3 linked regions of the Notamacropus eugenii genome follow. The protein of the gene in region 2 purifies or fractionates together with the protein of the main gene of each other region. This does not show direct contact. Links are inferred from orthologs where the notes say so. Each region holds a gene or a part of one and is shown on either strand. Other genes may lie near its edges.

Region 1 (10,317 bases), on a different chromosome or scaffold from region 2:
AGGGAAGCCCTTGCGGCCTCAGGTCAGGGAACTGAGGGCAAAGACTTCTGATGGTTCAGGGGATAGAAGAAGGAAAAGTCAGGGTTTGGGACTCACTTGGAGTCTCTGGATGCCTCCCTCTGTGGTTAGCCCTGGCCCCCTTTCAGGAAGTCTTGGTAGTGTGAAGTGGACTAGGGTTCCCACCATTGTCTCTTACTACTACTGGGATGACCCGGGGCAAGTTACTTCTCCCTGGGCCTCAGTTTCTCCTGAAAAACATGAAATGACCTCTAAGGTCCCCTTCAACTCTGACCCTGTAACACCCTGAAGCTTATATTACTTTGAAAGGGGCAGGGTGGGAAGTGGGCTCCCTGGGCTGGACTGGTTTAGGGGATCTGGTGGCTGTCTGTCTGTCTAACCCCCAGGTCTCCTTCCCTCCAGAGTACAAATGACTCTGTTCTGGCTGTCGGCTTCAACCCCCGAGACAGCAGTTGTATCGTCACTAGTGGGAAGTCCCATGTCCACTTCTGGAACTGGTCTATTGGAGGAGGGACTCTGGGCAGTGGGGGACTCACCCGGAAACAGGGTGTCTTTGGGGTGAGATCTGAAGGGGCTTGATGGGTGGGAATGTGTTTGTATGGGGGTCAAGTGGGGATTGTCCCACAACCTTCCCCTACTACACATCCTAGATTTGATCCCTGACCTCTGACCCCCCAACATTTTTGTGGCTCCCTTGTTCCTGACTTCCAAAAGTATAAACTTATCCCTTGACCAGTCTGATGATCTCATGACTCACCTTTAACCTCTACCCTCTGCCCCCTCCCAGAAATACAAGAAGCCCAAATTTGTCCCCTGTTTTGTGTTCCTTCCGGATGGAGACATCCTCACTGGGGACTCAGAAGGGACCATCCTCACCTGGGGGCGGAGCCTGCCTGACTCTAGGACCCCAGGCAGGGGTGGGGCTAAAGGTATTTGATTCCCCCCAGTTCCCAAGGCTTGTCCAGACCTTACCATGAAGTTAGAGCCAGGGCAGTTCCCAGAGGGCGGGGTAGAGAATTGAGAGAAAGAAGGTAGTCCATACAACCCTGGAGAGGGCCCAGGAATCTTCCTGGGGAAAGTGACTTACCCTGTTTGCACCTCAGGTTCTTCATCTGTCGAATGAGGGCCTTGGACCAGATCAGGGATCTGCCTAATGCATAGATTTTAGAAGGTCCATAAACTTGGAGGAGAAAAAAATGACATTTAAAAATTTCCACTAACCCCTAACAGAAATTTAGCATTTCCTTCAATTATTAATATAGGCAACAAACCACACTCATGTTAGGTTTCATGAGATTGCCAGAGGGGCCCATGATACAAAAAAGGCTAAGGCCCCTTCCAGCTCTGACGTTCTGGGTTGTAAGACCTCTTCCAGCTCTGACGTTCTGGGTTCTGAGGCCTCACCTAGTCAGTGTTTTAAGGCCCCTTCCAGCTCTAACATTCTGGGTTCTAAAGCCTTACCCAGTCAGTGTTCTAAGGCTCTTTCCAGCTCTGACATTCTGAGTTCTTAAGACCTCTTCCAGCTCTGACATTCTGGGTTCTAAGGCCCCTTCCAGCTCTTACATTATAGGCTTTAAAGGATTCGTTATACCTGGGCTTGGCCTCAGTCCATCCTTCTTTCCCCCTTCACTGTATCATGACCTTCCCAGTGACCTTGATCCCACCAATCTTGGCCCTCTCTCCTCTACACAGAGACGTTTGGGATCGTAGCTCAGACCCGAGCCCACGAGGGCTCCATCTTCGCTTTGTGTCTGTTGAGGGACGGGACTGTGCTGAGCGGGGGTGGGCGGGATCGACGGCTGGTTCAGTGGGGGCCTGGGCTCACTGCCCTCCAGGAGGCTGAGGTAAGACTGGGACTGGAGATGGGGGAAGGGAAGGAGAGAAACTGAGGTAGATGGGGCTGGGGAGCAGGAGGAAGGTTGTAGGGACTTCTTTCCTCCTGAGATATGGACATCCCCCACCTCCAGATCCCAGAACAGTTCGGAGCTGTCCGTGCCATTGCCGAAGGGCTGGGCTCAGAGCTGCTGGTAGGGACCACAAAGAATGCGCTGCTGAGGGGAGACCTGACTCAGGGCTTTTCCCCTGTTATCCAGGTTAGTGTTTGTGTGGGGCCAGAGGAGTGTGGGGCAGGGCAGTGAGGAGATCCTATAATGTCATCCAGCCCTTGTATCCCATAGGGCCACACTGATGAACTCTGGGGTCTCTGTACTCACCCCTCCCTGAACCGCTTCCTTACCTGTGGCCATGACCGGCAGCTCTGTCTGTGGGATGGGGAGTGTCACGCTCTGGCCTGGAGCCTTGATCTTAAGGTACTGTTGCCATGAACTTTATCTCCTGAGACCCCCTTCCCTGACCTCCCCCATAATCTTTAGGGAATCCAGTCATCTCTCCCAGGGCTAGCCCTTCCTTCCCTTTGAGAAGCATTGAGGGGAGATGGGCTTTGAGTTCATCAACAGGCGGGGTGATCTGGTGGGTTCCCCCCATGAGAAAAGTATCTCCTTGAATCCCAACCCCAGCCTTCCATCTCTGACCACCCTCCCCCTCCAGGAGACGGGTCTCTGTGCTGACTTCCACCCCAGTGGGAAAGTTGTGGCTGTGGGACTCAACACTGGGAGGTGAGAAGGGGAAGGGGGAGGAGGGATGGAAGAGGAGATGTTGGGGGTGGTGATGGGCCGTTAGCCACTGGCCTCATGGCCTTCTCTGACCCCAGGTGGCTGGTTCTGGACACAGAGACTCGAGAGATTGTGTCTGATTTCACTGATGGTAATGAGCAGCTCTCAGTTGTCAGGTATAGTCCAGGTGAGAGCCTCTCCCACCCCCTGCCCCCATCCAGAGGCTTCTCTCTCTGACCTGCCTTCTTCCCACCCCAACCCCCATCCTAGTTCCTTTCCTCTGACATTACCTTCCAATTATTCTATACCTCTTTTTGACATACATGATTGCTGGCCCCTTGTCTCCTCTATTCAAAGGTAAGCTCAAAAGCAGGTACTGTTTGGTTTTGGTTTTGTAGTTTTGCTTTTCATTACATCTCCTGCTTCTAGCACACTGCTTGGCCCATAGGTAAGCCCTTAAGAAATGCTTGTTGACTGACTGACTGACTGACTGACTCCTTCAGATGGGATTTACTTGGCCATTGGTTCCCACGACAACATGATCTATATCTATAGTGTGTCCAGTGATGGGTCCAAGTGCAGCCGGTTTGGCCGATGCACGGTGAGTGTGCCCTATGAGCAGAGTGGGATGTGGTGGGGTGCTGGTGGTGGTAGGGGCAGGCCAGCTCTTCACAGTTCTCCTAGAGAATGGCCTGGGACTGGAGTGGGAACTGAAGGCTCCATTTTGGACAGCCCTCTACCCTTCCTTCCCCCAGGGGCACTCCAGCTTCATCACCCACCTAGACTGGTCCAAGGATGGCAATTTCATCATGTCCAATTCTGGGGACTACGAGATCCTCTACTGTGAGGAGGGGTTCACAGGGGTGGGTCACTGGGGTCAAGTTTTCTCCCCCACTATGACTCAGAGCTAGGGTGGTGGTGATGGGGGACTGTGGAATTTGGGGGCAGAATCCTGGGTTTGAGTCCCAGCTCTGTTACTTACTCTCTGGGAACTCTGAGGATGTCACTTCCTTTCTTCAGCTTTCCATTTGCTCATCTATAAAGTGAGATTTGGGTCTGTCCCAGTTCTGACGTTCTAGGTTCTAAGTTCCCTCTAGGCTCCAATACTCTAGCTTTTAAGGTCCCTCTGAGTGCTTTAGTTATGTGCTCTTAGGTCCCTTCCTGTTTGACATTTGATATTTCTGTTTTCTAAAGCTCTTTCTGGCTCTAAATCCTATCATCTCATCAACCTAATCCATGGAAAATGTGCTAAGCAAAGGCATTTATAGAAAAATTTTCCAGGGGCATTGGGTGAGAGGGGTGACTTCCAGAACATGGATTTGCCAGGATCTGGAGCCCAAACCCCTCTGGACTGGCCTTATTTTCTTCAGTTAGCTGGGTTGATGGAAAGGGACTGACCTAAGTGGAGCTTCCCTCCTTCCCTTCCTCTCAGGGGACGTGGCAGGGGGTTGTAAGCTGCTGAGAAATCGGTATGAGAGCCGGGATCGCGAGTGGGCAACCTATACGTGTGTCTTGGGTTTCCATGTGTATGGTGAGCACCAAGCCTGGTGAAGGCAGCTGGGAATATTGTGAGGAGGGCAGTGTTACAACACTGAGAACCACTGCCCTTGGGTGGAGGGAAAGGTCAGAAGCATCGGGGCCGACAATGCCGCATTGTGGGTCCCGGAATGTCCGAGAACAATACCTGTGGGTGGCTGGGAATGTGGGAGCTTGGAAGGAGGAGGAAGCAGGAATGAGGAGGGCTTGACTTGGTAGGCGTGTGGCCGGACGGATCTGACGGGACTGACATCAACTCGTTGTGCCGGTCCCACAATGAGCGAGTGGTCGCAGTAGCGGATGACTTCTGCAAAGTGCATCTGTTTCTGTACCCGTGCGCCCGGGCCAAGGTGAGGGGTCTCTTCCACCTCACCCACTCAGAGGCCAGGGGAGGGGCTGGCGGGGAAGAAGGGTGCGAGAGCTGCTGAAGAGTGGGTGGGGGTGAGGAAGAGGGGTGTGAGTCGAAGCCAGAAGAGGCAGGGGACTCCAAGAGACACATCATTCCGGAGTAAAGAGACTAGGATTTAATTGCTGGCCCTGTGACCTTGGGCAAGTCGCTTCCTTTGAGACTCAGTTGCCTCATTTGTTAAATGGTGATATCTAAGTTCTAAGTCCTGCATAACTGGGCTAGATTCCACCTATTTCTTCCCATTCTGTCCCCACCCTCACCGCTAGGCCCCCAGCCGAAAGTACGGAGGTCATGGCAGCCACGTCACCAGTGTCCGGTTCACTCATGACGATTCTCACCTCATCTCACTGGGAGGAAAGGATGCGAGCATTTTCCAGTGGCGCATGCTGAGTGGTGGGGGCCCTGGACCAGCCCCCTTGACACCCTCCCGCACCCCTTCCCTCTCCCCCGCCTCCTCGCTGGATGCCTGACCCCACTAGGACTAGATGGAGTGGGTGGGGTTAGAGGGTGCTTTTCCCCCTACCTCCCATCGCCCCCATCCCCCTCCCAAGGACCAGGAGCCCCCTCTTCCAACTTCGTTGCATTCCGTGCCTTCTCCCGGTCGGGGAGGGGCGTTGGGACCCCCCAACACTGTACAGAACCGCAGGCTGAGCCGAGCAGCCCCCGCCCTCCTCCTCAACCCTGCACCCGAGCAGGGTCAATAAAACAGATGCCAAGTCCCTCTGCAGCGTCCCGTGTGTCCTTCTGCAGGGGAAAGGCGGGGAGGGGTGGTGGTGGCATGGGGTAGGGTTAGAGAGATCCCTGGTTTGGAAGTTAGAGAGCAGGGCTGGAGGACTTCCTCGGGGCTGCCTTAGTCTCCTACTCGGTACCAGCAGGGTGGTTGGACGCGGTGCTCCCTCCCTAAGGGCGATCCCCGCTCTCAGGGTCCAGGATTGACCAGAGTGGGGCAGTGGAGTGTGCTTGAGCTGGGGCTGGACCAAACCAGGAAAAGAAAAGACCAACGGGGCCCATGCAAATGAAAAGCAAAGGGTATGCAAAGGTCCGACTCTCCCTGCTGCGGCCGCGAGTCGGGCTGCAAGGCTGAGGCGAGGAAAGGGTTAAAGTCTAGGCCCCGCCCCTCCTTCCCGGCCCCACCCCTCCCGGCCGAGGAGGCGGAAATGCCCGAGCGCCAGAGGCCGTGGGCCGGAAAGAGCCGAAGCGCCTCCGGAAGTGGCCGAAGCGCGGGCGCCCGTCCTTCGGGCGCAGCCGGAAGGGTTCCGGAAGGGCTCGGCGCTGAGGCAGGGCTCTGTTTGGACGAACCGAACCGCGGACCCGGGACGCTGGGCCGGGGGGGGGGGGGGCCGGAAGCAGCCGAGCGGGCCCGGCGCCGGCCTCGGCGCGTCCTGGGCGGGAGGCGGCGGCGGCGGCGCGGGATGAGCCGGGGCTGAGGCGGCGGCGGCGGGGCCGGGACCGGGGCAGGGGCCGAGCAGGGCCGAGCAGCGCCGGGGTCTCCCTGCGGCCGAGCCGGGCGCCCGCGGGCCCCGTCGGGCGGCCATGGCGGCCAACATGTACCGGGTGGGGGGTGAGTACCGCGCGCCCCGGCTCCGCTGGAACCGGCACGAGCTTACCGGGACCGGCGGGGGGGAGGGCCGGGCGACTGGGGGGGGGGGGGGGCGGCACGAGAGGGGCGCATGCGCGCACGGGGAGCCTTGCCGGGGGTCCCGGTAAGAGAGGACGCATGCGCTGCCATCCCCCTACCCATGGGGGGTCCCAGGCGGGGGGGGGGGTGCGCAACGAGACTTAAGTGGGTGAACTTGACCGCCGAGGCCACAGCAGGGGGGCGGAGTGAGGCCCGGGGCGCTCTGGGCTGCTGGTCACCTAGTCCGGCTCAGTGCTCTGAGTGCCAGGGCAGATCTCAGACGCCCCACCTCTGGCACCATAGGGCCCTGGCTGGCTCCGGGATCCCCTATAGCGACAGCGCTGCCCGCGGGGCAGAACTCCTGCCCAGATCCGCCTCGGGCGATTGGGAGGCTCCTTGGCCCTCCGTCTGATGGGCGGGACCTGAGTTCGGATGTAAAGAGCTTCGGGTGTCCCAGGGCAGGAAAGCCCCCCCGACCCTTTCCACCTGAGCAGCCCCAGTCACTTTCCCTCCTCTGTGCTGGAGGTTCGATTTGAACCCGGGCTTTACCGGCTCGAACCCCTATCCTGAGTCCTCCTCCGGATCCAAAGGGACAGCGCCTGCCCTGCCTTAGAGCTAGCTAAGCCTGGCCCAGAATCCGTGGGCAGGGGTGGCTGGAGGCCACAGGCTGCCCATGTCCTGGTCAGCACTCCCGGGCTAAAGTGCTCGCTGGCTTCTGATGTTTGCCATTGGATAGCCAACGTCCAGAACCTAGTAAATGTGATGATGGGAGACCCCCAGAGGGTCTCCACCCTCCCTCTTTCTTTTTTCCTGTTGCATCCCTCCTCCCTCACTCAGGGCTTTGAGAGGCTTCCCCCTCTTGACCTCCTGGCTCTTCCCCACTGCAGATTACGTCTATTTTGAGAACTCCTCCAGCAATCCTTACCTGGTGAGAAGGATTGAGGAGCTCAATAAGGTGAGCTTGTGTGTGTGTGGGGGGAGGTCAGAAGGGGCTTGAATCCTCACCAGGAAGCACATCTGAGAATGTGAGCTGAAGGTTAATCTAGGCACACATGGCGCTTCTGTTCTTTGTGTGGGTGGTTGTCAACTCCACTTCCTCAGCATGGCCTCCATGGGGCAGTGGGCAGAAGTTAGGGAAAGGTAGGTTTCCACTCAATGTGAGGACAGACTTCCTAAGCAGAAGCTCCAGTTCTCAGATATCCAAGAATGAATGGGTAGCCTCAGGATTAACCAGTTTCTCCTTACTGGAGTCTACTGGTAAAGACTGGTCAATCACTTTTAGACAGTATTGGTGGTCTTCTGGGTGGTTAGAATGGAGTGCCTTGGGTCCTTTCTAGATGTGTGCTTCTCAAAGTGTCCTTGCTTGGGTTTATTTTGGCCCAGGCCTAGTTCGGAGCTCCTTAGGTGGGAGGGGACTTGGGAGGCTCTGAGACTGAGCTGCACTCTGTTGGGCACATAATTTCTTGAGGTCTTTTGTCGTTTTATCTGTGAGTGCTTAATATATATTCCCTGTTACTGGCCCCTTTTCCTTAGACATACCTACTTTCTCTAACATCCGGTTTTACCACTTTGCTCTTTCTTCCTAGACTGCAAATGGGAACGTGGAGGCCAAAGTTGTCTGCCTTTTCCGAAGACGGGACATCTCTAGCAGCCTCAATAGCCTGGCTGACAGCAATGCCAGTGAGTCTTTCTTCCCCCTCCTTCATGTCCTCAGGTCTGGGCAGGTCTCTGCAGGTGTTTCCTCTGGTTTCCTGACCAAGGCTGGGGGGGGGGGGATGAATTTTGGGATGGGGGAAGCAGGTCTACATGGAGGGGTTAGGGCTTGTTTTCACATGTCAGAAAAGTAGAATGGAGGAGGAACGTGATGAGGAGAGCCAGTGTTTTCAGGAGGAGAGGACAGTGGGAAATGGGAGGTTTTATGGAGGGTAGAAACAATGAATCTAATCATAGAGAAATCAGGACTTGTGGGTAAGTTTTGAATGAACTAGAGTTATAATGAGAAGGATTGTGTTAGGGTAAGTGAAGAGGAAGGAAGTCCCAAACACACCATGTGTCCTGCCTTAGGATAGGGGCTGTGGTTTGTTTAAATACTGAAGGAGTTGGTCTTCACAGGGTGGAGGCTTTGGGAAGAGGAAGAAACTCCTGAATTTCATTTCTTTTGCTTTTGTCTTCATCTTCCTTCTCTTTGTTTTCTTCTCTTCCTCCCTCTTTCCCTTTCCTAACTTCTCTCCCTCACTTCCTTTTTCCTCTTTCTCCCTTTCTTTTCCCAGTAATAATTCATCTCTATCATTCTTCCCCCCCTTTCCTTTTTGATTTCTTTCCATTGATATGTCTGTTTTCAACTTTTTAGACCAAGGTTCCAGCACTAAAGGGTTAATGGGGAACAAGGCTCTCCAAGTTTCACAGCCCCTTGGGGTTTACTGCCCCATCTGGCAGGGACTGACCTTGGCTTTGTCCAATCAGAAGGGGTTTGGGGGGTGTGGTCCCCTTGCCTTAGCCCTGGGTTTCCGCAGCACAGGCAAGGGGAGGAGTCAGCTGCCAACTCCTTCCCCACCCCCCCTTCTCCCTGGTAGTTGAAACAATGGCCTATGGGTCTGGGCTTCTTGCTATGTTGTTATCCTGCCCCTTTCTCCTTTGCTTGGCACCCATCCCTGTTAACACTTTACAGCTGGGCTTAGCCAGCTTGAGGCCTTTGGTAGGGGAGGGATAGTGTTAATGTTGGGGTGGGAGTTTTCTCTGAAAGATAAACACTAGGATTCAGATAAAGAACAAGTGACATTAGGTTCTGCAGGTCCTACTTTGTCAGGGGGTTGAGGGAGTGGGGGTAGGGGGGGAGGCCTGTGATGTTTGAGGACCTGCTTGGGGAGGCACAGCCTGGTATAACCTCACTGGGCTTTTAATCCTGTTGGCAGCCTGGCTAGGGTTGAGATCCCAGCATGAACTCTTGGGGCTTGGGATGAATTTCTGAGGTTTGGGGGGGGAGGGAGAGAGAAGGGTTATGGAAGCTCTTTCTGATCAACTTTAGGGATGAGGCAGCATTGGGGAGAGTGTGATTGGGGCCAAGATGGAGGAAAGGCAGTACAGGATTGAGAGGCAGACACAAGGAGGGAGGGGGGAGGAACTGGCACAGTCCCCCATTCCCCCCCCAGCTAGCCTTTATTCTCTTTTCATCTCCCAGGGGAATTTGAGGAGGAATCCAAGCAGCCAGGGGTCTCAGAACAGCAGAGACATCAGCTGAAGCACCGGGAACTCTTCCTTTCGAGACAATTTGAATCTTTGCCAGCCACCCACATACGGTAGGGGACAGAATACAGTCATTTCTTTACCCTACCCACAAGGGGCTTCTCTCCCACTGTCTGCTCCTCTTTAGCTGGCAAGTGGAGAGGACCCCTGTTCCCAGTGACAAGGGCAAGTGCTTGGGAGCATCATAGGGGATGAAGATTGGCAATTGTAGACTCAGTGACCTTTCCTTCCTCTTCTTGCAGTGGGAAGTGCAGTGTGACGTTATTAAATGAGACGGACATCCTGAGCCAGTACCTGGAGAAGGAGGTGACCAAGAGGGCTGTGTTGGCAGAAGGGAGGGGTCTGGGTGGTGCCACCATAGTGGGGAAAGCCAGCACAGGGCTGACAGGTGTGGAGGGGGTGGCAGAGGTGGTGCTGCCCACCCTCCCTTAGCTAGTGTGGGGCAGTGTTCCTTGGTGTTAGCTGTGTATGGGTTACTAGGGTAAAAGCAAAGCCACAGCTTACATTTTAATAGGGGAGAGAGGTACATGCAGAATGGCTTTAAATCAATTTATATTCATGGTGCTGTTACTTGAGCTGAATCTCCAGGAAATTGGGGATTCTGAGAGATGGGGGAGGGGAGGGAGAATGAGCCCCCAGTACCTAAGGTGCAGAGGTCCTGAGATGGAGATGGACAAACAGCGGGAAAGCCACTTTTGCCAAACCAGAGGATGCCTGATGGGGAACGATATAGGGCTGAAAAGGCACGTTGAGGTCAGATTGTCTAGGGTCACCAATGGCTCTGTGGAGGGTGGGTTGGAGAGACAGAGATCACTTAGGAGACTAAGGGCCTGAACCAGTCTGGTGGCTGTGAGTGTAGACATAAGGGCTTACGTTAGAGA
Region 2 (10,331 bases):
GTTTATACAGCACTTTAGGTCTGCAAAGACCTTATCTTCTAACATTTATTCCCTGCAATAACCCTGTGAGGTAGGTGCCACTATTATTCCCATGTTATAGATAAGGAAACTGAGGCTGAAGAGGTTAAATGATTTGCTCAGGGTCACACACTGTGTGTGAGGTAAGACAGGAACTCAGATCTTCCTAACTTAGTCCAGTATTTAATTCACTGTGCTACCTAGAAGGCAGGCCATTTTAATGAGGCCTTCTCCAAAGCCAGGTCAGAGGATCAAAGTATTTAGAGTTGGATGAGATTTATTTTTCTTTCTTTTTTTTCTTTGGAGGGGGCAGGGGTGGGGACATGGCAATACAAGTTAAGTGACTTGCCCGGGGTCACAAAGCTAGTGTGTGTCTGAGGCCACATTTGAACTCAGGGCCCCTGATTCCAGGACGAGTGCTTTATTCACTCCAACACCCAGCTGCCCCTGGAGCTGGAGGAGATCATTCAAATTCAGTTCAACTCCCTCATTTCAGGAATGAAGAAAATAAGACTCAAAGAGTGGTTACAGCTGTAACATTCGTGATGCAGTAAGAAGGAAACTTCGCTGCATTTGGAGTTAAAGGATCTGAGTTCAAATTCTAGCTCTACACATTTTGGTGTGAACTTGAACAGTCACTTAACTTCTCAAGTTCTCAGTTTCCTCAACTTTAAAACAACGTAAAGGGAGGTGGACTAAAATATCTCAAAAATCCCTTTCAGTTTTACAACCATGAGCCTAAAAGTTCAATTTCAGGCAGGTTTGTCCTTCCCATTAAGCAATCACAGTTTAGTGTTTTCTTTAGTGACTGATTAAGCTATTTTACCTACTACGGCTGAAAACTGTGAGGCGTTAGGGGATCTGAGACAGCAAAGGAGAAAATAAGATTAATGATTGTGCTACTCAAGATCCTTCCTCGTGATCTTTTATTCTCTCCCTTGCTCCCCCCTCCTCTATCTCCCTGTGGGTCTAACTCTCCATCCCTCTCTATTTCCTTCTCTTTCCTTCCTCCCCTTCCTTTTCTCTCTCTCTCCTCCCCTTCACCTCCCTGTTCCAGGTGAACATATGATTCAATTCAGGGGGTAAAAAAAGAGCCACCAAAAAAAACCTAGAAAGAACATAAAATCAAGGTGTGGAAAGGGCCTAAGTGAGATCTAATTCAAGCCTCTCATTTCACAGACCAAAATAAGGCACCAAGCAAAGAAGAGACTTTGCCCATGTGATACATAGCCATGGTCTAAGAATTTTTTTGTTCTCTCAACACAAACCCTTAGGCCCAATTCTATTTACAAACACAAGCAATTCCCACTGGAGTGGGGGTTAGGCATCTGTTATCAGAAGGGTAGAAATCTAACAGGTCACACATCTGTCAATACCAAAGAGCCAAAAATGAAGGCATCTTGGGAGAAAAATTAAGGAGTTTTTCTATTTTAAGGGGATTTCTCCACTGAATTAGATGTCTTGGAGATACAATGACCATTTTTTTTTCTGGAGCAAAAATCAGGACATATGGTCTGATGAAAGTTGTTCTTTTTATAAAATTTCATTAAGAACATACTTGCTTTTCTCAAAATCAGTACTATGCTAGAAAAATCCAGGATACATGGCTGCCATACATAGAGAAAGGTATAAAAACATTTTTTTCAAATGCTTTTTTAAAAAATCCCTCAAAAGTTATTCAACTTTTATTTTGAGGATCTCCAAACAGAAAGAACCTATACCAAGGACATTTGTAGATGAAATGGCCTAATCTAACTGCTGCTGGCCTTGGAGATGGAAAAGACCTGGATGGAAGCATGAACGTCCATGTGTCCTCAGGGAAATCCACCTCTCAGTGGTGTTCCCAACCCTCCAAAAGCTAAAGAGAAGGTATCCACCTGTACAGAGTTTGAGGGAGTTTCTTTTCCCAGTAGTTCCCTACACCAGTGAAATCACAATCTCCATCCCTACTACCACATTTTGAAGTTTATGAACTTCAACCTCACAACTATCCTTTGAGGTAAACAGTACAAGCATTAACACCCTTTTCGTTCATCCTCCCCTCAAAAAAACGTAAGTAAACTTGAAGAGGATACAGGCTTGCCCAAGGTCAGAGAGCTAAGAAGAGACAGATCACAGGAGCTGAACAGATCCAGCATTCTATCCACGACTTCAGAGCACACTGGAAAGAATAGTTCCTTTTTCTGCACCTTGATTTTCTCCTCTGTAAAACCCTTATCTCCTGACTCCAATTACAAAATCATTTTCACTGCATCATCCTGCCTCTCATCGGATAATGGACTTGGAATCAGGAGGACCTGGGCCCAAATTCCACCTCAGACACTTACCAGCTTATGCGACCACGAACAAGCTAGTTATGAGACTCGGGTTTGTCATCTATAAAATGGGGATAATGATATGTGTAGCTCCTACTTCCCAGGGATATTATGAAAATTAAATTAAATAACGTATGTGAAGTTCATGGTAAGCCCTAAAGAGCTAAAAGACCCCCACCCAAAGACTTAATGCCATGCTCAAGTTGTGAAAGCTTAGAATAGAACAAAGGCTTTGGGGACACCCTGTATAAATGCCAGCTTCTCTTTATGATGATTAACAACAGCAGCCAACAAGCACTGATTTATCAGTCCTTTACTATACGCCAAACACCATGTGCTCCCTGTCACCCTGGTGCTGGCCGCTGCACTTTGTACCTCAGTTTCCAAATCTTAAGTGCCTTATAAAATTTAAAGGGCTAAAGAAATGTGAGGAAATTTAAATTAAAATACTGTACAAATAGGTCTAGAAATCTCTTACCAAAGAGGTCAATCAATAATCAATCAACAAGCAATGCTTAGGCCTTAATGCCTTTCCTCTGTTGATTATCTCCAGTTTATCCGGTATATGTCTTGTATGTATGACAAGATTGTTGTTTGTATGTGGCCCCCTCTCCCCATTAGATTGTAATCTCCCTGAGCTGGTAAATGTGGGGGAGGGGAGGGAAGATGCCTTTCTTTGTATCTCCAGTGCTTAGCGCACAGTAGGCCCTTAAACACTAGTTGACTTGCCTGGACAAACACTTGTTAAAGACTTACTACAGGTCAGGGATAGTGCTAGGCCCTAGGGATACAAGTAAAAGGAATGAAACAATCTCTAATCAAAAGAAGCTTACAAACTAACATGAAAGACAGAGTTGTGCCTGGTGCACACAGTTTGCTTCCCTCTTATCATTTTCTCCCCTTCCCCTCCCCAAAAAGAATTTTTAAAATATATTTGAGAGAATAGATGAACAGAAAGCACACCTCAGAATTATGATGACCCGGTTCAAAGACAGCCTCCAAAAGATACACAGATCATGGAACTTGGAACAAGCCTAAAAACTATCACAGTTAATAATAATAGCCAGCATTTGTAAATCACCTACTATGTGCCAAGCACTGTACAAATATTATTCCATTTGATCCTCACCAACCTCACTTTTAGGTGCTATTATCATCCCCAATTTACAGTTAAGAAAAGGTATGGATTTGTAGGGGTTGAAGGCATTTCCTCCTGGGGAAATTTCTCCCACACTGATTAAATCTAGTTCCACCCTATACATATTACATGTGTATGTACATTTATATATAAAGTGTGTATGTATATGTATGTATACATACACACATATATGAAAAATATACACAAGAGGTTCACGAAGCATTAATGTGTAGGAGGTGCTACTTCTAAAAAGAGTGACTCAGGAACACAGCATGGAGAAAGCAGGATGAAATAGAATATTTTCCCCTGACAACATTCAAACACTATCTCATGAATCTGGAAAGCCTGCTGGGTATTGGAGTACTAACTGGAAGAAGAGACAGTCATGTGAGCTTAGCTCCAGCACTGAGACCAGAAACAGCTTTCAATTTAAAGCACAATTCCATTTCAAAATGCTCTTTTAAAACTTAACTAAAGCCTTGACTTTCCTATTGGCCTCACATCAACCCCAATTACTAACAATGCCATCGAGCAAACCTTCCACTTCTGCCCCAAAGCAAGGACTCTTCTTCCCTCAGCTAGAGAGGGCGAGGGAATCAGTGTTAAAAACCACATTCACCATCTCGCTCCATCGGCATCTGTCTCCTTTGTTCTTGGCTCTTCTGTCTCTGTCGTATGTGGCTGAGGAACGGAACGTGGGTGCTGCTGGGCTTTGGATTAATGGAGCTGGCTTGTTTTTGTTTTGTTTCTTGCTGCATTTAAATGGTGTTCACATGAGCCTGTTCAAGTCTGAACCAGGACAGAACACCAATGTATGTTCCAAAATATACATTTGTTTCCTGGCTCCTATACTGAAGCAGCATTTGCTTCCCCTTCCACTACAAGCAGGCCCTGTGCAGCTCATATATCAGGCTCCTAGTACACACACAGCTCCCTTCAGATCTACAGCAGACACCTCCATTTCATTGACCATCGGGCATTCCTTCCCCCACATCCGCCTCTGGGATCACACACAGACTCCTCAGAGCTCTTAGCTCTCCAGCCCAGGAAATGACGCATCATTACTGGGAATTGTTTTAGTCTCTCAGGCTGGAAAAGACAGGCCTAGTGATTACCAGTCCCGGCCCTGGGCCTGTACTAGATTTTTGGGTGTCTTAAATTACTTCATGCTGTTGACAGCACAATTGTCTGGACCATCTCCTATGTGGTAGCCAGTAATAAGCCTGGATAAAAGAAGGATGATAACAAATGGCTACTGAAATCACTGGGAGGGGGAGGGGAGGAAAGTGTCAAAGCCAGTTGCTAACATAGCCGAACAGATCTAGATCTGGCTCTAAGCCACAATTTGTGAGACCTTAACTTGTTTACTGATCACGGCTCCTACAAAGCTGATTCTCTGAACTTAATTTAGATTTAGAGTGGGAAGGGGACTTAGGGGTGATCTTGTCTACCCCCTTCATAAAGAAAATGAGGCCCAAATGAAGTGCCCAAAAATTGACATCGTTGATGATAGTTAAGGGTCAGAAGTCGGATTCCAAAACTCAAGTCCTTTCCCCCAAATCCAACACATTTTCCACTCTACTACACCATGAGATCTGCTGAATTTATGTATTTAAATTTTATTTTTAAAAAGGATTCTCTAGGAGAATGTCCATTCTTCATAGTCTGGGTTTCTTTTTCTACTTTCTCCTCCATCGCATCCCTGGAAAACACAGGCTTTTCCAGCAGCAAACAACTGTGTTTACCCTCTATCCATCAGCACAAAGTATTTCCACAAAGAAGTACCAGTTCCATACTTGTAACCAGGAGCCCATTTTGGCAAACTGGACAATCCAAGATGAGTCTAGCAAACAAAATGAAGACTGGAAAGCCTTCAGGGCTTGCTCGCTCTATTCCAAATGAATTTACAAACACACTACATCTACAGGAAAGCACCGTTCCCAGAATGAAGCCTGAGCATAAGCACAGAACCCAGATATTATTGGACCATCAGGTATAAATGAAGAGATTGCGCTTGGGGTAATTGCTAACACTCTCCATTGCCTACTTCAAACATGACCACATGCTGTTCTCTAGGGCAACAAAGCAGAAAACAGTTAATAATTTCAAAGCATTTTTTTTAAAGACCCAGAGAGCAGGGTACCCAAACAGGACATGCTACTTAGAAGCAACAGAATACTCCCAAGCCAATACTTAAACTATAATGAACCAAAACCCCAGAAATGCCTGGGGGAAAACACACACACACAGAAAGGGGGGGAAGGGGTGTAGAGGGAGGCGGGGAAAACACCGGGAGAGACAAAGCCCCAAAGAGAAAGCAGGCCCCAGCCAAATCAGACACGTGCAAAAACCTGGAGACTTACAGTTCTTCAGGAAGCCCTGATTTTCTACACTATAATCCTAGATATTTCAAAACAAGCCAAATCACACTAAAAAAGAAACTATTTTAGAGAGCCACCCTGTATTACAGCCCTTCACAATCTCTGAAACTAGATAGACACTGTTTCTGGAAATGGGGGCTTTTATTTAAGGTCCTCAAAGTTAGCATGTAAAAGCAATCTCTTCTGGCTGGGCACATCTATTTCCAGAACAGATATAACTGATATCAAACCCAACCAAGCCTTGATATCAGGGACCTCCTGTTCATGTGAAATTCTCATTGAGATCAATGAAAGGTTCTGAGGCTTCTCGCAGGTTTGGAGTATGGAGAAACAGTCAATTTCCAAATATGAAACAGACATTAGGAAATACGTAACTAAGGGGAGGGGGGGGCCGCAGGAACAAGATCCAGAGGAAAATATAAATTCAAAGCACAGAAGGCCAGAAACCCAAAACCCAGTGAAAAAGCACTTACCAGCCATTTAAAAATTAGATGGGTGATGGTCAGCAGGAACAGCCACATCAGAGGAGGGCTTTCAAGAGGCTTCTGCTTGCAGGCTTTTTCCCCGGCTGGCTTGTTATTAGTGAGAAGGCCTCTCCCAGGGAGGAGGAGGGAAAGGAGAGGCTGGGAGTTATCTCCTCCTATTGCTGCGACTGCTTTCTCTTATTAGGTTCCCCACTGGTGCTAGAATCCCACCACCTCTTTGCAATGTCCTGTGTACAGTGCAGCCGAAGTGGCCTAGCCCACCAAAGCCGTTTATAGATATTTGCTATGGCGGTAATCTATCAAACGTGACAGCAGTGCAGTTCAGATTAAAGTCTTTGTTGCAATTCACAGCAACAGGCCTATTTGCACCAAATGCTATACATGCAACAGAATAGAAACTGTCCTGCTCATTAATGCAAGGTAGAGCTGCAGCATGATCAATAGTTCTGTAAATATGGCATGCCTCTCGGCCATGCTAGTTAGGAAAAGGGCACCATCTTGTGCGCTCTCAGAATGTAACCCAAAGGAGCTTTTTTCTGCTGGAATGTCAGCCAACAGGAACTCAGAACAGCAAGGGCTAAGCCCACACCAACCAGGGTCAGAAAGCTATTAAGGGGCATATTCACATGCAAAAGGTGAAAACAGCAGAACCAGCTTTGCAAGACTGAGGGTGTAGCAAGTCTGGGGAAATGAGCCTGATTTGCAAATGAATTCCCGGCTGCTTCTGGACAATTGCTAGACCAGAATGAAAGAAGTTTTTCGACCAGGTCTCTAATCTCCTTTAGGATGAAGCCTTAGGAAACTAGGGGACATCTCTACAGGAATTTCCTAGTTGGGGTAGTGCCAGCTGGTGTGGAATTTTACAAGCAAAATAAAGGGCCTCCCCAAATCCCAGATATATGCAGTCCTTATTACAGCTTGAGCCCTGCAGGTCTGGCTCAGTTCAATTTATTTACATGTGAAAAAAAGTACTTAAAAGTCAGGCCAAATCAGGGTGAAGAAAATGCCGTACGACTGGTTTCCTTTGGCTTTTAAATGCCTGGTTACCAATAATTCCAAGTTCACCAGTTCTGGAGCGTAACTAGCAGGTAGGCGGAATTCCTGTCTGCATTATTTATCATAGGAGCCCCAGCATTCTGCTAAAGCACCAACGTCCGCTCCGTGCAGCTGGCAGCGTCCAAGGGAGCGTTTGGCCAGCACATTTACAAAGCAGGAAGGCTTCCCAGACAGGAGAAAGGTTCTACTCTTTAAGGAATAAATGGGGGGCGGGGGGGGGGGGGGGAGGAGAAGAAATCAGAGGGAGAAAAGCTACGAGAGGGGAGGAGAGAAAAGAGGGGCAGGTGATTCTTTAAATTAAGAGCAAAACATGGATCATGTTCTGCCCAAGGCCTCGCTTTCCCCCAAAGCCCACCCATGTCAGGGAAATTTCCAAAAGGCGCCAAAACATGCTTCACCCGTCCCACCTCTGACCTCACTTCATTCAGCAGCCCTGGGGGGGAAGATCATGTTCACGGTATACAGTAAACCACCCTGAGTTTGAGTCTCAGCTTGAATGGTCTGGCTGGGTCACGTCAACAAGCATTTATAAAGCTCCTACTACTTACCAGGCCCAGGGCTAGGCTGGGAGATAACAAGGAGAGGCAGAAGACACACCCTGCCCTGGAAGCCCAGTCTAGTGGGGAGAGAGGGAGGGGGACAAGATAGAGAGAGAGAATAAAATGGAGATGATCTGCTGGGAAGGCTCCTAGCAGAAGGTGGGTGATAACTGGGGCCTTCAAGGAACTCGAGGCAGACAGGCTACTGTGTGACCAGTCAAGAGAAGAACCAGGACTCTATCACCAGATGGAGGGCCCTTTGCATAATATGTAAATTTAACATCAATTATTATATATAATATGTAAAATTAATTTCTCTGGGCCTTAGCTCCTCTACTCCAAAATGATAATGATGATTGTAGCTAATAATGACAATAATCAATATCTCCCCAGTTGTTGTAAAGCCATAAATCACTATTAAAATGTGAGCAGTGACTATCACTGTTACAGGAAACCTCTCTTCATCATCGTGACTGCTCCTCTTCGAGAACGAAGGATGAAGAGAAAGTATGGCACAGAAGAAAGAGGGACATCACAAGACCTGGGTTCAAATCCCAGCTTTGTCCCTTAACAGTTGTTTGGTCATAAAACACGTCATTTCAGCCCTGGACTTCAGGTTACTCATCTGTAAAATGGGAAGAAAAAAAGCTATACTAATCCTTGTGGTTATTCAATGAGAGGATAAGTGTAAAACATTCTGTAAAACCACAATGAAAACACTTCAGTTAGTAGCAGTACTACTAGACGGATGGGTTACCTTCTCCGGTTTTAGAACTTCACTTAATTCCATGCATTGAAAATATCTACAATCTACTATAGACAAGGGCTAGGAGGTTAGAACTATGGCAATACACAACTGAATTGTCATCTTTATCACCATATAAACAAAAATTATGTAGAAGGGTCCAAAAAAACCTCATACAAATTTGTGATACGGGGTGTAAAAAATAATTACTCTCCCCTTTTAAAAAAAAGGAGGGGGTATGAAAGATTGTGTTGGACATGTGAATCCCCCACACATCAAAACAGGATGATTATTAACCAACATTAAGACCATGTGTTCATTTATGTTCTACAACTATTACTCTAGTCTCAACAAGCCTTCACTAAAAGCCCACTAGATGCCAGGGACTTAGCTAGGCCCCAGCGTAGCAAAGACAAAACAGCTGCTACCCTCAAATAACTTCCAATCCTACTCCTGAGAAACTAAAGGTTCAAGGATGACCAAAGGCAAAGTAATTTCCAAAGATAAGCCGCTAACGGTGGTTACAGGTAGCACTTTATTCGAGCCCTGAAGGAGAGAAACATTAAGAGGGGGTAAAGAGTGAGATAACAGTAGACAGAGCATGAGTCCTGGAGTCAGGAGGACCTGAGTTGGAATTCATCTCAGATACTTACTAGCTGTGTGACCCTGAGCAACTCACTTAACCCCAACTGCCTCCAAAAACAAAAACAAGAAGTAAAGAGGAAGAACATGGCAGGAAGAAAAGACAGAGGGATGGGAGACAGCAGAACAATAGAAAAAACCTAGATCTGGGTTAAAATCCTTCCTCTGACACTAACCCTGTGTGACCTTGGACAAGTGATTTTAACCTCTTGGCCTCAGTTTCCCCATCTGTAAAAAGGAGGAGACTGAACTAGACAGACTCTAAGGTCCCCCCTTCCAGCTCTGAATCTGCAATCCTTTGAACATCCTACCTGGAAAGCTGCAAAGAAGTCATTTTGATGGGAAAACTAAGCTATAAATGATTTCTGAAAACAGTCTTATTTCCTCTGCATTTCTACCTGTTCCTAGCCATGCGTAGCACGTGGTTGGTTGGTGAATATTTGTTAATGATGAATGCCCAATTCCGCTCTGAACGCATGATTAAAACAGAAGAATGCATTCCCCCAGCTTGGCTCCCCTCAGAATCCAGAACTATGGCAACTCTAAGACTCAAAGAGAAGTAACACTGAGAACTTCTGCCTCATCAAATGCAGTCAAGGAAAATGAAAGAATCATAAAAACCTAAAATGCCAGAGCTGGTAGACAACAACAATGGAGGTAATCGCCAGCATCTACATGGCTCTTTAAACTTTACAAAGTGCTTTAAAAAAATCGTCTCATTGAATTCTCACAACTCTGGGGGCCATTTTATGGATGAGGAAACTGAGAGACAGTGCTTGATCTGCCCAGGTCACACAGCTAGAAAAACCTTCTGAGGCAGGATTTAAACTCAGATCTTCCTGACTCCAGGTTCAATACTCTATCCACCAGTGTCACTGAGATGCATCAAACATACTATGTCAGAGCTGGAAGGGGCCACAAAGATGATCTAACACAATTGTCTTATTTTCACAGAAGGACAAACTGAGGCCAAGAAAAGAAAAATGACATATCTGAGATCTCACAGTGAATT
Region 3 (10,103 bases), about 150 Mb from region 2:
CTCCCTATTGTCTCTAGAATAAAACACAAAGGCTTCTGTTTAGCTTTTAAAGCTCTTTATAACCTTGCCCAGACTTATTTTTTTTTCAGCTGCATTGTAAATTTCTCCACTCTGAGGAGGGGCCTTGTCTCTGTCCTTCTGCCCTCTACCTTCTATCACCATGCCTGTGTAGCAGTTGTTCCCATGCCTGAAATGCACTCCCTCATCACCTCTGCTTATAGAATCTCTTCCTTCATGATGTAGTTCTGATGAAGGCTGGAAGGGGGGGAGACCCCCACAAAGACCAGAGAACAAGGGCAAGTTGCCTGGAATGAATTTGAGGACTCAAGCATTCTTGAGGTCCAGGTAAAGATTTATTACACTTTTTAGCAGGCAAGAGTTCTTAGGGGACCTGTAAATTTAGAGGGGTCCAGGTAAAGGTTATATAGGATATTCTATAATGAGCCAAATATGTTAACTAGGTGATTCAGGGAGGGATTAGGGAATGGTTAGTTCTTAAAGGAACATGCACTTTTAGTATCTACTGTGCAGGTATTTTACCCAGAGTTCATCGGGAAATAGCCCAAGGTGGGGTTACACGGAAGTGTGATTTTAGGCCTGAAACATCACTAAATCAACTAATGGTCAGGGCTCACTAAGGAATAGCAGACTGCTCTCATCAATGTCTTGTTAGACAAGATAAATGTAAGGGAGTATACATACGTCTAAGTCTAGGATACATATTATTGGTCAGTGACCAATGTAAATGACCCATACACAGCCAGATCAGCCAGTACACAGATGGTTCAGACTAATAAGTTCTATAGGTGCAGCTGGCAGCTGTATCAGGAAGGGAGATAACGGTTGTTGCTTGGGCAGGCTGTGTCCCTGGGCTGGGGAGAAACTGCCTGGGTTAGTGTTTTGAGGCCAGGGAGAAATATAATTTTTAGAAAGAAATGTGATTTTAGGATTGGGGTCTAAGCACAGGCACCGAAGTACCCCATCGGTTCCAGTACTATTTCCTAAGTAAGACTTTCCTGATCTCCTAAATTGCTAGTATACTTCTTGGGAAACCACCTCATATTTGACCACTTGGTATGCATTTGTATTTATTCTCTTCATATTCTGAATATACTTATATAAGTAGACAGGTGGTAAAGTAGATAGAGAGACGGATCTGGAGTCAGGAACACTTGAATTCAAACTTAGCCCCAGACACTTATTAGCTGTACGACCTTGGGCAAGTCAATTAACTTTAGTTTGCCTTAATTTTTTCCTTTGTAAAATGGAAGAATAATAGCTCCTACATCTCAGGGTTGTTGTGAGGTTCAAATGAGATCATATTTGTAAAGTGTTTTGCAACTGTACAGCATTATATAAATGCTAGTTATTATTATTATCAATCTATACATTATCTTTCCTGTTAGAATATAAGCTCCATGAAAGCAGGGACTGTCCCTTTCATTACATTTGATCCAAATTAATACTTGCTGATTGATTAAGTTTGTGAGTGAGGAAGAATGTTGAGGATGACCTTGAGACTGCAAACATAGGTGACTAGAAGAATGATGGTATTTCAAAAGAAATAGGGAAATTAGGAAGAAGTAGGGGTTTTTTTTAGAAAAGATAATGAGTTCTGTTTGTGACATCTGAGTTGAAATGTCTAGGGAACATCTAGTTGCCAGTGTCCAATAGTCAGTGGGATTCTGGTTCAGTGGAGAGTCTAGGACTGAATTCATAGACCTGGTAGTCATATGCAGAGGGATGATTGTTGAAACCACGGCAGCTGATGAGACTACCAAGATAGCTAGTACATGGAAGGACAGGGAATTAAGTCCTTGGGTACACCCACATACAGGGGTGTGAACCTGGATCATGTATGATCTGGTAAAAGAAACAGAAAGAATGGGCAGGTAGGTAGATGAACCAGAAGAGTGACATGAAAGCCCAGCGAGGAGATAGTGTCTAGGAGGAGGGAGCCGTCCACAGTGTTAAATACCAAATGAAGTGGAGATGCAAGAAAGGATGAGGACACAGAAAAGACAATGGGATTTGGCATTTAAGAGATCTCTAGTAATCTTGGAGAGAGTAGTTGTAGGTCAAAGATGAGGCCAGAAGCCAGTTTGCCTTTGCTGTCTCCCATTGACCCTCCCCTCCCCCAAGTCCACCCCATCTCCAGACACATAATATTTGAAGGATACCTGCTCAGTCCTGTCTCCCTGAGAGGACTGCTCTCCAAGGTTTGCTATCCAAGGCAGTGTTCCAAGCTCCAGATCCTTCTTTTATCCAATCAATAATAATACTTCTAGGATACTTTGATGGACCTAAAATTTCATATATGTAAGTATTTCCTTCCTTGGTGTAGATCACAGCTGTGGTAGAGGATGAGAAGGTAGAGAAATTGTATGAAAAAATGTGATAAGCTCTTGCAAATTAAATCAACTTATGCCTTAATACGTGGTGACTGTAATGCACATGTGGGTTTAAGGAGTGCTGGCCAAAATATATATGTTGGAAAATATGATTTAAGTACATGAAACAAAATAAAAAAGAAACAAAAGAGGTCAAATACTTGTAGATTACACTGAAGCTTCACATCTACATATCATGAACGTTTTGTTCAACAACAGAATTAGGAGGTGTGAAACAGAACAAACACTGAATAATACAGCTAAATCTGAAATTGACTCAGTTGTAATGGATAGGAAACAACTGGTTACGAGCAGGGAAGTCATTTTCCAATCAGCTGTGTTCAGTTAGATATGGACTGGTTAAAACCAGGATCAAAATCAATAACAAATAAAAATAAGAAGACATGACATGCAATTAAGACAACTCAGGGCTTTAAAATAGCGAACTGCTGCCATGAACAAATGGCTGAAATAGTTGTAAATGCTATCTTTATGGTCTAGTTAGTCATGGATGTGGAGCAGAAATGAATGACTTTGGACTAATCAAAGCAGAAAGTAAACTGGGAAGAAGGCTTGAATATATTTAGCTTATTAAGGGATTAATAGTGGACAAGTTTGTTTTGTTTTGTTTTTTAGTTATTCACAAATACCCAAAGAAGTAAGACGTGATAAAATTGCAATTTTTACATAAGTATTTGAACCACCTAAGCCAAAAAGTGTGATGGGACATTCTAGGAACATTACAGAAATATGGTCAGTAGAAAGGAGATTTATTAAGTTAATTTATCAAATGAATTTAAGCTTATTGGTGTAAACCTAGTCTTCAACAAACAAAAGAATGAGAATTAAAAGAAGAGACATCAACATAAACAATCACTACTTCCTGAAGAGAGGAGAGTACTAGATGTTCTACCACTATTGCCTAAAGAGATAATAATTCTCACCCATTTTAATTCTCTTTTTTCTGGAATTGAAAAAGGCAATACAACTTCATTTTAAAGAATTCAATTCAGTTCAACAACCATCAAGTTTAACTAGTGTAAATCACTTGTTACAATGAAGACGCCAAAAAACCCAAGAAAATTCCTCATTAAGTAGAACAATGATCTTCTCGCCAAGCTGAAATATATGGCAGCCAAAGGCAATGCCAGTCTACAACATTTTTTAGGGGAAATCTCAAAAGGGAGGATAGCAGAAGATTATAAGTATTATCACTTCACAAAATAATGAAAAGTGATAGTGAAAAAAAATTACAGAAAACTTGCAAGAAACCCAATAAAGCCAGATAATCGTGTGCGCATTAAAGGATAAAACTGGGAGGACAATAGAAGATGAAAAATGCAAAGGCTCTATAAGACTTTTTTACAACAACCTATTTTCTCCCTCAAAGACAGTGAAGTCCACCATATTTAGATCCTAACATTATTGTCTCTAATGTGGTACATAAAGAAGTAAAAATAATACTAAGGATAAAGAAGCTGAGAAGAGCAGCTGGGTTAGATTAGGTACCTACTTAAGGGTGCTTCTCTTTCCTCTCTAAGAAGCCAACTGCTGAAGAAGTCTTTTTTCTCTAGGACACTAGTATATGAATATTTATAATCAGAAACAAATTTGGAATTGTCTAGGAGTTAACTTGCAAAGCCTCCCTGAAAATTTATCTTTCCTGGTTAGTAGAACAGATGCCAGAATTATACTGCTTAAGGAATTCACAATCATTCCTTCTACACTGGGGTTCAGGAACAGTGTCTTAAACTCCACCTCAGGACTGGAGAAGCACATATCTATCATTGCCAAGTGCTTTTGCTGTAGGTTGTCAATACTGGTCAAAAGAGGCTGAAAAGGAGAGGTTGCTCTCTCCCTACTTGCAGAACTCTGTAAAAAAGCACAGGGGAAAATGCCTCTCAGTCTGTCTCCCTGAGTTTCAAGCACTGGGAACCCCTTAAGTGTTATCCTGTTTTACATCATTATCTAATTTATAAATTAGACAGGCCTTGATTCAGGTGATATAAAGTGATGGTGATATTGGGATATGTTCTGATTACAATTCTGTGGATCCTGTGCTACCAGACAAATAAAAGTCTTCCTGGGCTCATCTTTGAAACAGACAGGTAGAGCTTCCCTATGTCAGGGGATATTTTGATAAAAGTCTAGTACAATTGTGATAGCTTTAAGCTGAATCATGACAACTTCACCATTGTTAATTTTCTTCTTATGGAAGAGGAAAAGGCATTAAACCAAAGGTTCATATAGCCCTTGTAAAGGTGGAGTTCTTTTTATTAGCCTGAGTTCTCTAGTTTGGCTACACATAAAGTCTTGATTTCATCAAAAAATTTCTGTTTATTGTATCAAAGTAAATAAATGACTTGTCAGAAAGCTAAAAGAGTAGTCTTTCTCTTCTGGAGATTAAAAGAAAAACACTACAAGAATTGGAGCCTGGAATTAATGAGAGAGACGGCTGCTTCTCAGTCAGAAACTCCAAAGAAGGAACAACAGCATGGGGGCATCTTCATGTTTATTAAACAACAATGTTTGGGAACAGTTTGGAACCGATTTAGCTTGGGAACAGTTTAGTTTCACTAAATAAGGTTGTTTGGGTTCATTCGGGGATGTCTAGCTAGCTTCAGACTTTATTTGGTTTCTTGTTTTTGTCAGGATATGAAGGATATCAAAACCAAGTGGTTTGTTTAGAGGACCAAATTGGGAAAAATAACGACCCAGTGGAAAGCTCAGTTGCAAATAACTTGTTACTGTCCATCGCTACCAACCTAGTTGTCTTGTGCTTCTTGCTAATGGGGATGCTCATGGCAGCAAAGGCTGGCTGAATTTCCTTAACATTGACAAAGAAAAAGGAGCCCTTCTATTATGTCCTCTGCCCCCCACCCCTTTTCGTTCTGGATTCCTAGTCCTCTGGAACTATATTTGCCTTCATAGGTCTCTCTGTTTGCAGCTGAGAAAGGCAGTTTCCAAGGGACAAGAGGACAGGAACTGGACCTACAAATTGATGGTGTTATTTAGGGACTGAAACAGTCTTCCACCACCAATCTCCTCCCTTGTATTTTGTGGTTCCTAGTTCAAGGGGAAGTTCGGCACAAGGTTCCTTCAACATGCAAGACTAGCCTTATAGTGAAGAAGGAAGGCTGGCTGAGCTCTCCAAAAGTATTGGCAAAGAGGAAAGCATCATTCCTTATTCTTCCCTGCCTAGGGTTCTTTCCTCCCTAGGTTTGTACACCTCTGAAGCTATGACTGCCTTCATGGGTACCTTCGTCTTCAGCCCTAGAAGAAGCTGGTTGTCCCTGCAGTCACTAAGGGGCCAAGACAGTGGCTTAGTCCGACCTCCAGGTTCCCTCCCACGGTTCTGAACACTTCGAGGGGAAACAGGAGTATCAGACTCTCTCACCTTGCATGACTAGCCAAGTAAACTCAGAGCCACACATGCAGTTGAGGAAACACCACAGCATACTCCCACGTATGGCTTATGTGCACCCAAACTGCAACACACACACACACACACACACACACACACACGAGCTCCCAAGGGTAGTTGCAGAGCTAGAACCTAAAGGGGGTGATTGGGCAAGAGTAGCAACTGTGCGTACAGGTGTGTGGGGGATGGGGGATAAAAGGGGGAGGAGGTCATCGAGGCTGGGATCGTCCTAAATTCCCTAATGGGTTTAAGACCCTGAAATCACCAAGCCCAGGCTGTAGACCCTTAGCTCTCTCTCCACGGTCCCCTCAGGATTCTCCCCAGCGATCTCCCGCCAGTCACCCACGCCCGCCCCTTCGAGGGCAGGGCCCTATTAACCCGTGGCTGGCCCGGGGGGCGGGCCGCTCCCCCCTCCCTCTCCCTTCCCTTCCCCTGCTCTACCTCCTCTCTCACCCCCTCCTCTCCCCCTCCCCCTCCCCTCGGTGAGGCGGCGGCAGCGGCAGCAGTAACAGCAGCAGCAGCAGCAGCGGAGGCGGAGGCGGCTGAGGCTGAAGCGGCGGCGGCGGCGGGCGGGGCTCAGCTCGGGCTCCGGCTCCGGCTCCGGCTCCGGCTTGGGCTAGGCGGGCGGGCGGGCGGACATGGCGGCCAACATGTACCGGGTCGGAGGTAGGATGGAACCCGGGCCTGGGGGAAGAGGGGGCGGGAGAGCTGGAACCCTAACCGCTGGAGAGGGCGGGGGAGGAGAGGTGGGGGGCAGATCCCTTCCCCCCGCCGAGCCCCGCGTGCCCCCTCCCTCTGGGCCTGCGAGGGCCGCCCCTCCCCCGCGCCCCCCCCCCCCACCGCGCGCCCCCCCCCCCGCGGCCCCCCCCCCCCCGCCTTGCTAGTGGCCGCCCCCTCTCCCCGTGCCTCTCTCTCCTTGGCACCCCCCTCTCCCCTCCTGTCCCCTCGCCCAGGGGCCTGCCAGGCCCTCCCCCTCCCCCGGGCCTGCGTGGACCCCTGCCTCCCTACAGGGTCATGAGCTGATCGCCCTCCCATTCCCCTGGGGTAGGAGCTCCTGGTGGTAAGGGCGGTCGAGCATCCCCCACAATGTGGGTGCAGGGCATTGGGGCCCAGTGAGTGTGGAGCCAGGCCGTCCGTCCCCTGGAGGGGGAGCAGGCGGGCAGGCGGGCGGAGGGAGAGCCAGGCAGGCCTGTCTGCAGGGGCAGAGCCCTGCTTCTCCGCCCTCCCCGCTCAGGGGCCCTGCTCTGCCCAGCCCAGCCCGGGCCCCAGCTCCCCCAGGAGGCAGTCGCTGATGGGGAGCAGCAGCGCCTTGGGTTAGCGCCTGCCTCTTCGAAAAGGAGAGCGATAGCGTGAAACACAAACTTTCTCCCTCCTCGATTCCCTCCTGTCCCCTTCCTGACAAAATAATAATTCAGATGAGTGCAGTGCTTGCGTCTGAGAGGCTGCTCCAGCTTCTCTCTCATTAGCTCAGCTCATGGCTAGTGGTGGGAGGGATTGCACTGGTACTGGCTAAATGAGGCCACTTTGCAGGAAAAAGACAGGGAAAACAGGCACCAAGAGAGACAATAACAATGGAAATCCAGCCTCTCAAATAAAACACACAGTGGGAAGTTTCCAGTGAGCCTATTAGATTGAGACAACAAGCCATACTTCAGATTTTTCTCCTTTTCTGTGGAAAGCTTGTTCTGATATCCACATAAATGGGCCCAAAGGGAGTTAGATGATAAAAGGAATTTGGTGTCTATTCCAGGGGACCTTGCCCATGGTAAAGGCCTTCCTGGTATGGTGAAGCATGTAAATGTTTTCAAGTCCACACGCATTTGCTGTACTAAGCCTTCCTCATTGTCTCTTGATCTATTTTTGAAAAGTTACTTGGTCATTGAAATGTCAGACTTAGAAACCTTTAAGTTACGCGAAGTAGTTCTCATATGAAGAAAATGGTGACACTTGTATTATAATTAAAAGAAAATTGGAGATGAGCGGAAAATGGTTGTACCTACTGCCATCATCATATTCCTTTCATGGGATCATAGATTTAGCATTGGATATGAGAGAGCATATTGGGTGCCATTTATTCAGTGGGGGTTGAATAATTATAGCTAATGATGTTTAATCAGCCTGTGGTAATGCAAAGAGCATTGTTTTGAAGTCAGAGGAACTGTGTTCTAAACTCAGTTCTGTTGACTTAGTAAATAGAGTTCAGAAAAGACTTGGACTCAGTGATTAGAATTGCACCTGAACACTTTAGCTCTCTGATTCTGGGCAAGGCATGTAACCTTTCTGATGCTCAGTTTCCTCATCTGTAAAATAGATTAATACTTTGCACCTGTCTCAGAGAAAAATCAAATGAGCTGGCATGGGTCAGTTTTCTTTAAACTTAGAGCTTTTTGTATATGTGAGTTGCTTTTTAAAAATTATTCCTAGGGTAACTATGGGTAAGTCAAACACTCTCTGCCTCCATTGCTTCACCTGTAAGTTCAGAATGTTATACTCCATTATCTCCAAGGTCCCTCCTAGGTCTAGTCACATAGGCTCCCAATGAGGGTGTCATCACTGACTCCTCTCTCACTCTCTCACCCTCACATAGACAGTCTTTGCCAAGTCTTATTTGTTCTTCCTTTGAAACATCTCTTGTATATTTGCCCCTTGTTCTCCTCAGACATTAACGCTGCTCTGGTGCAGGCTCTCTTTACTTGGAGCTTAGACTATGGCAATAGTCTGCTGATAGGTCTTCCTGCCTTACGTCTCTCCATATTCCAGTCCATCCTCCACCCAGTTGTCAGTGGTCTTCCTAAAGTGCAAGTCTGACCAAATTATTCCCCATATTCAGTCACATCCAATGACTCTATTTTACATTCAGGATCAAATATAAAATTTGATTTGGCTTTTAAAGTGCTTCATAATCTGCCCCCTTGTTATCTTTCCAGTCTTATTACACCTTACTTGATAACTTTCTTTCCCCACCCCTTTCATGTATTTTTTCCTCCAGGGACAGTGGCTTCCTTGCTGTTTCTTAAGTCTGTTCTCTCCTTCACCCTGAGATTCTCTCCAATTTATTCTGTGTATATTTTGTAGTATTTGCATGTTTTATTTCCCATTAGATAATGAATTCCTTGAGAATAGGGACATTGCCTTTCTCCAGTTTTATCACATTGCCTAGCATGTAGTTGGCACTCCATAAATGCTTGTTAACATGACTCTAAATCTATGATCCTAGTTGACCATGTTAATTGAAATAAGGATATAAATGAAATTCATTGCCTGTAGATAACAAACATGTGGGCCATGTACTGTATATTTTATTTAAGCTTGGTTTTACATAGTGAATGAGCTGAGCTGAGAGGTGTGGAATATGAATTGTATAATTTTCATGACTTCAATTAGATCGGTGACAGAATAATACTATTTTTTGCATGCTAATTTTGAAGATATTAAAATATTTTTTACCTTTCCTTGCAGATTATGTTTACTTTGAGAATTCCTCAAGTAACCCATATCTAATCAGAAGGATAGAAGAACTTAATAAGGTACATACTAACTTTTTCCTTTGGTCTGGTACACTGGAATTTTTACACGCTCTTGGGTGGAAGGCACAAGAAGTTTTAACACTTTATATTCAAATTTTAGATCCCAAACTTTTTGAATGTTGACAAATTGAAATACATTTTGGTTCAGAGTCTTGAATTATTTCTTGCCTATCATTGCCTTTGAAATAACCATTGCTGTTAACTAGACCATACTTGATATTTGTAAAGTGCCATAAAGTTTACTGAGTGCTTTTTTACATTATTGCATTTTATCTTCACAGTTGTGATGTAGATACTACAACTATTATTCTCTCCTTTTTGTAGGTGAGAAAGCTGAGGCTCAGAGGTTGTGAGTTGGGTAAAGTCATGATATCATACCCATGATATTTGTAGATGGCACTCAGCTGGAAGATACAGTGGACACACTGGATGACAGAGTCAGCATTTTAAAAGATCTTGAAAGGCTAGAGCATTGGGCTGAATCGAATAAGATAAAATATATTGAGGATAAATGTTAGTTCTTGTACTTGGGTACAAAACATCAATTTCACAAGTCCAGGATGAGGGCAGGCATGGAAAGCTGTTTGGGGAAAAAATGGACCATTAATGTGTTTAGATCATATGACTGGATAGTGTGATGTTGCAATAGCCAAAAAAACTAATGTGCCAGGGGGCTACATTAAGGGAGGCAAAGCTTCTGGGAATAAGGTGGTTATATTAGTTAGACTTCATCTAGAGTACTGTGTTTAGATCTGGGAACCA

What was found.
Region 1: the proteins of ZMYND8 (region 2) and MTA2 purify together in Homo sapiens (affinity purification with mass spectrometry; 3 studies listed by BioGRID and IntAct, with this or other methods). This does not show direct contact. The link is inferred for Notamacropus eugenii from reciprocal best matches to the Homo sapiens genes ZMYND8 and MTA2.
Region 3: the proteins of ZMYND8 (region 2) and MTA3 purify together in Homo sapiens (affinity purification with mass spectrometry, with the first as the bait; 3 studies listed by BioGRID). This does not show direct contact. The link is inferred for Notamacropus eugenii from reciprocal best matches to the Homo sapiens genes ZMYND8 and MTA3.

The regions. Positions count from the first base shown.
Region 1 is NC_092873.1:15,724,231-15,734,547, reverse strand, and holds the start of MTA2 (metastasis-associated protein MTA2), read left to right. Parts: upstream 1-6,000; 5' UTR 6,001-6,108; coding exon 6,109-6,136; intron 6,137-7,080; coding exon 7,081-7,148; intron 7,149-7,779; coding exon 7,780-7,873; intron 7,874-9,371; coding exon 9,372-9,489; intron 9,490-9,678; coding exon 9,679-9,742; intron 9,743-10,064; exon of another isoform or gene 10,065-10,146; coding exon of another isoform or gene 10,147-10,179; intron 10,180-10,317. Other genes in the region: EML3 (echinoderm microtubule-associated protein-like 3), read left to right, coding at 421-576, 806-947, 1,711-1,862, 1,986-2,111, 2,196-2,327, 2,566-2,633, 2,729-2,817, 3,134-3,231 and 4 more. UniProt on the Homo sapiens protein: May function as a transcriptional coregulator. Acts as a component of the histone deacetylase NuRD complex which participates in the remodeling of chromatin.
Region 2 is NC_092872.1:519,722,823-519,733,153, reverse strand, and holds the start of ZMYND8 (MYND-type zinc finger-containing chromatin reader ZMYND8), read right to left. Parts: upstream 4,495-10,331; 5' UTR 4,230-4,494; coding exon 4,091-4,229; intron 1-4,090. UniProt on the Homo sapiens protein: Chromatin reader that recognizes dual histone modifications such as histone H3.1 dimethylated at 'Lys-36' and histone H4 acetylated at 'Lys-16' (H3.1K36me2-H4K16ac) and histone H3 methylated at 'Lys-4' and histone H4 acetylated at 'Lys-14' (H3K4me1-H3K14ac).
Region 3 is NC_092872.1:667,599,328-667,609,430, reverse strand, and holds the start of MTA3 (metastasis-associated protein MTA3), read left to right. Parts: upstream 1-6,138; 5' UTR 6,139-6,452; coding exon 6,453-6,480; intron 6,481-9,273; coding exon 9,274-9,341; intron 9,342-10,103. UniProt on the Homo sapiens protein: Acts as a component of the histone deacetylase NuRD complex which participates in the remodeling of chromatin.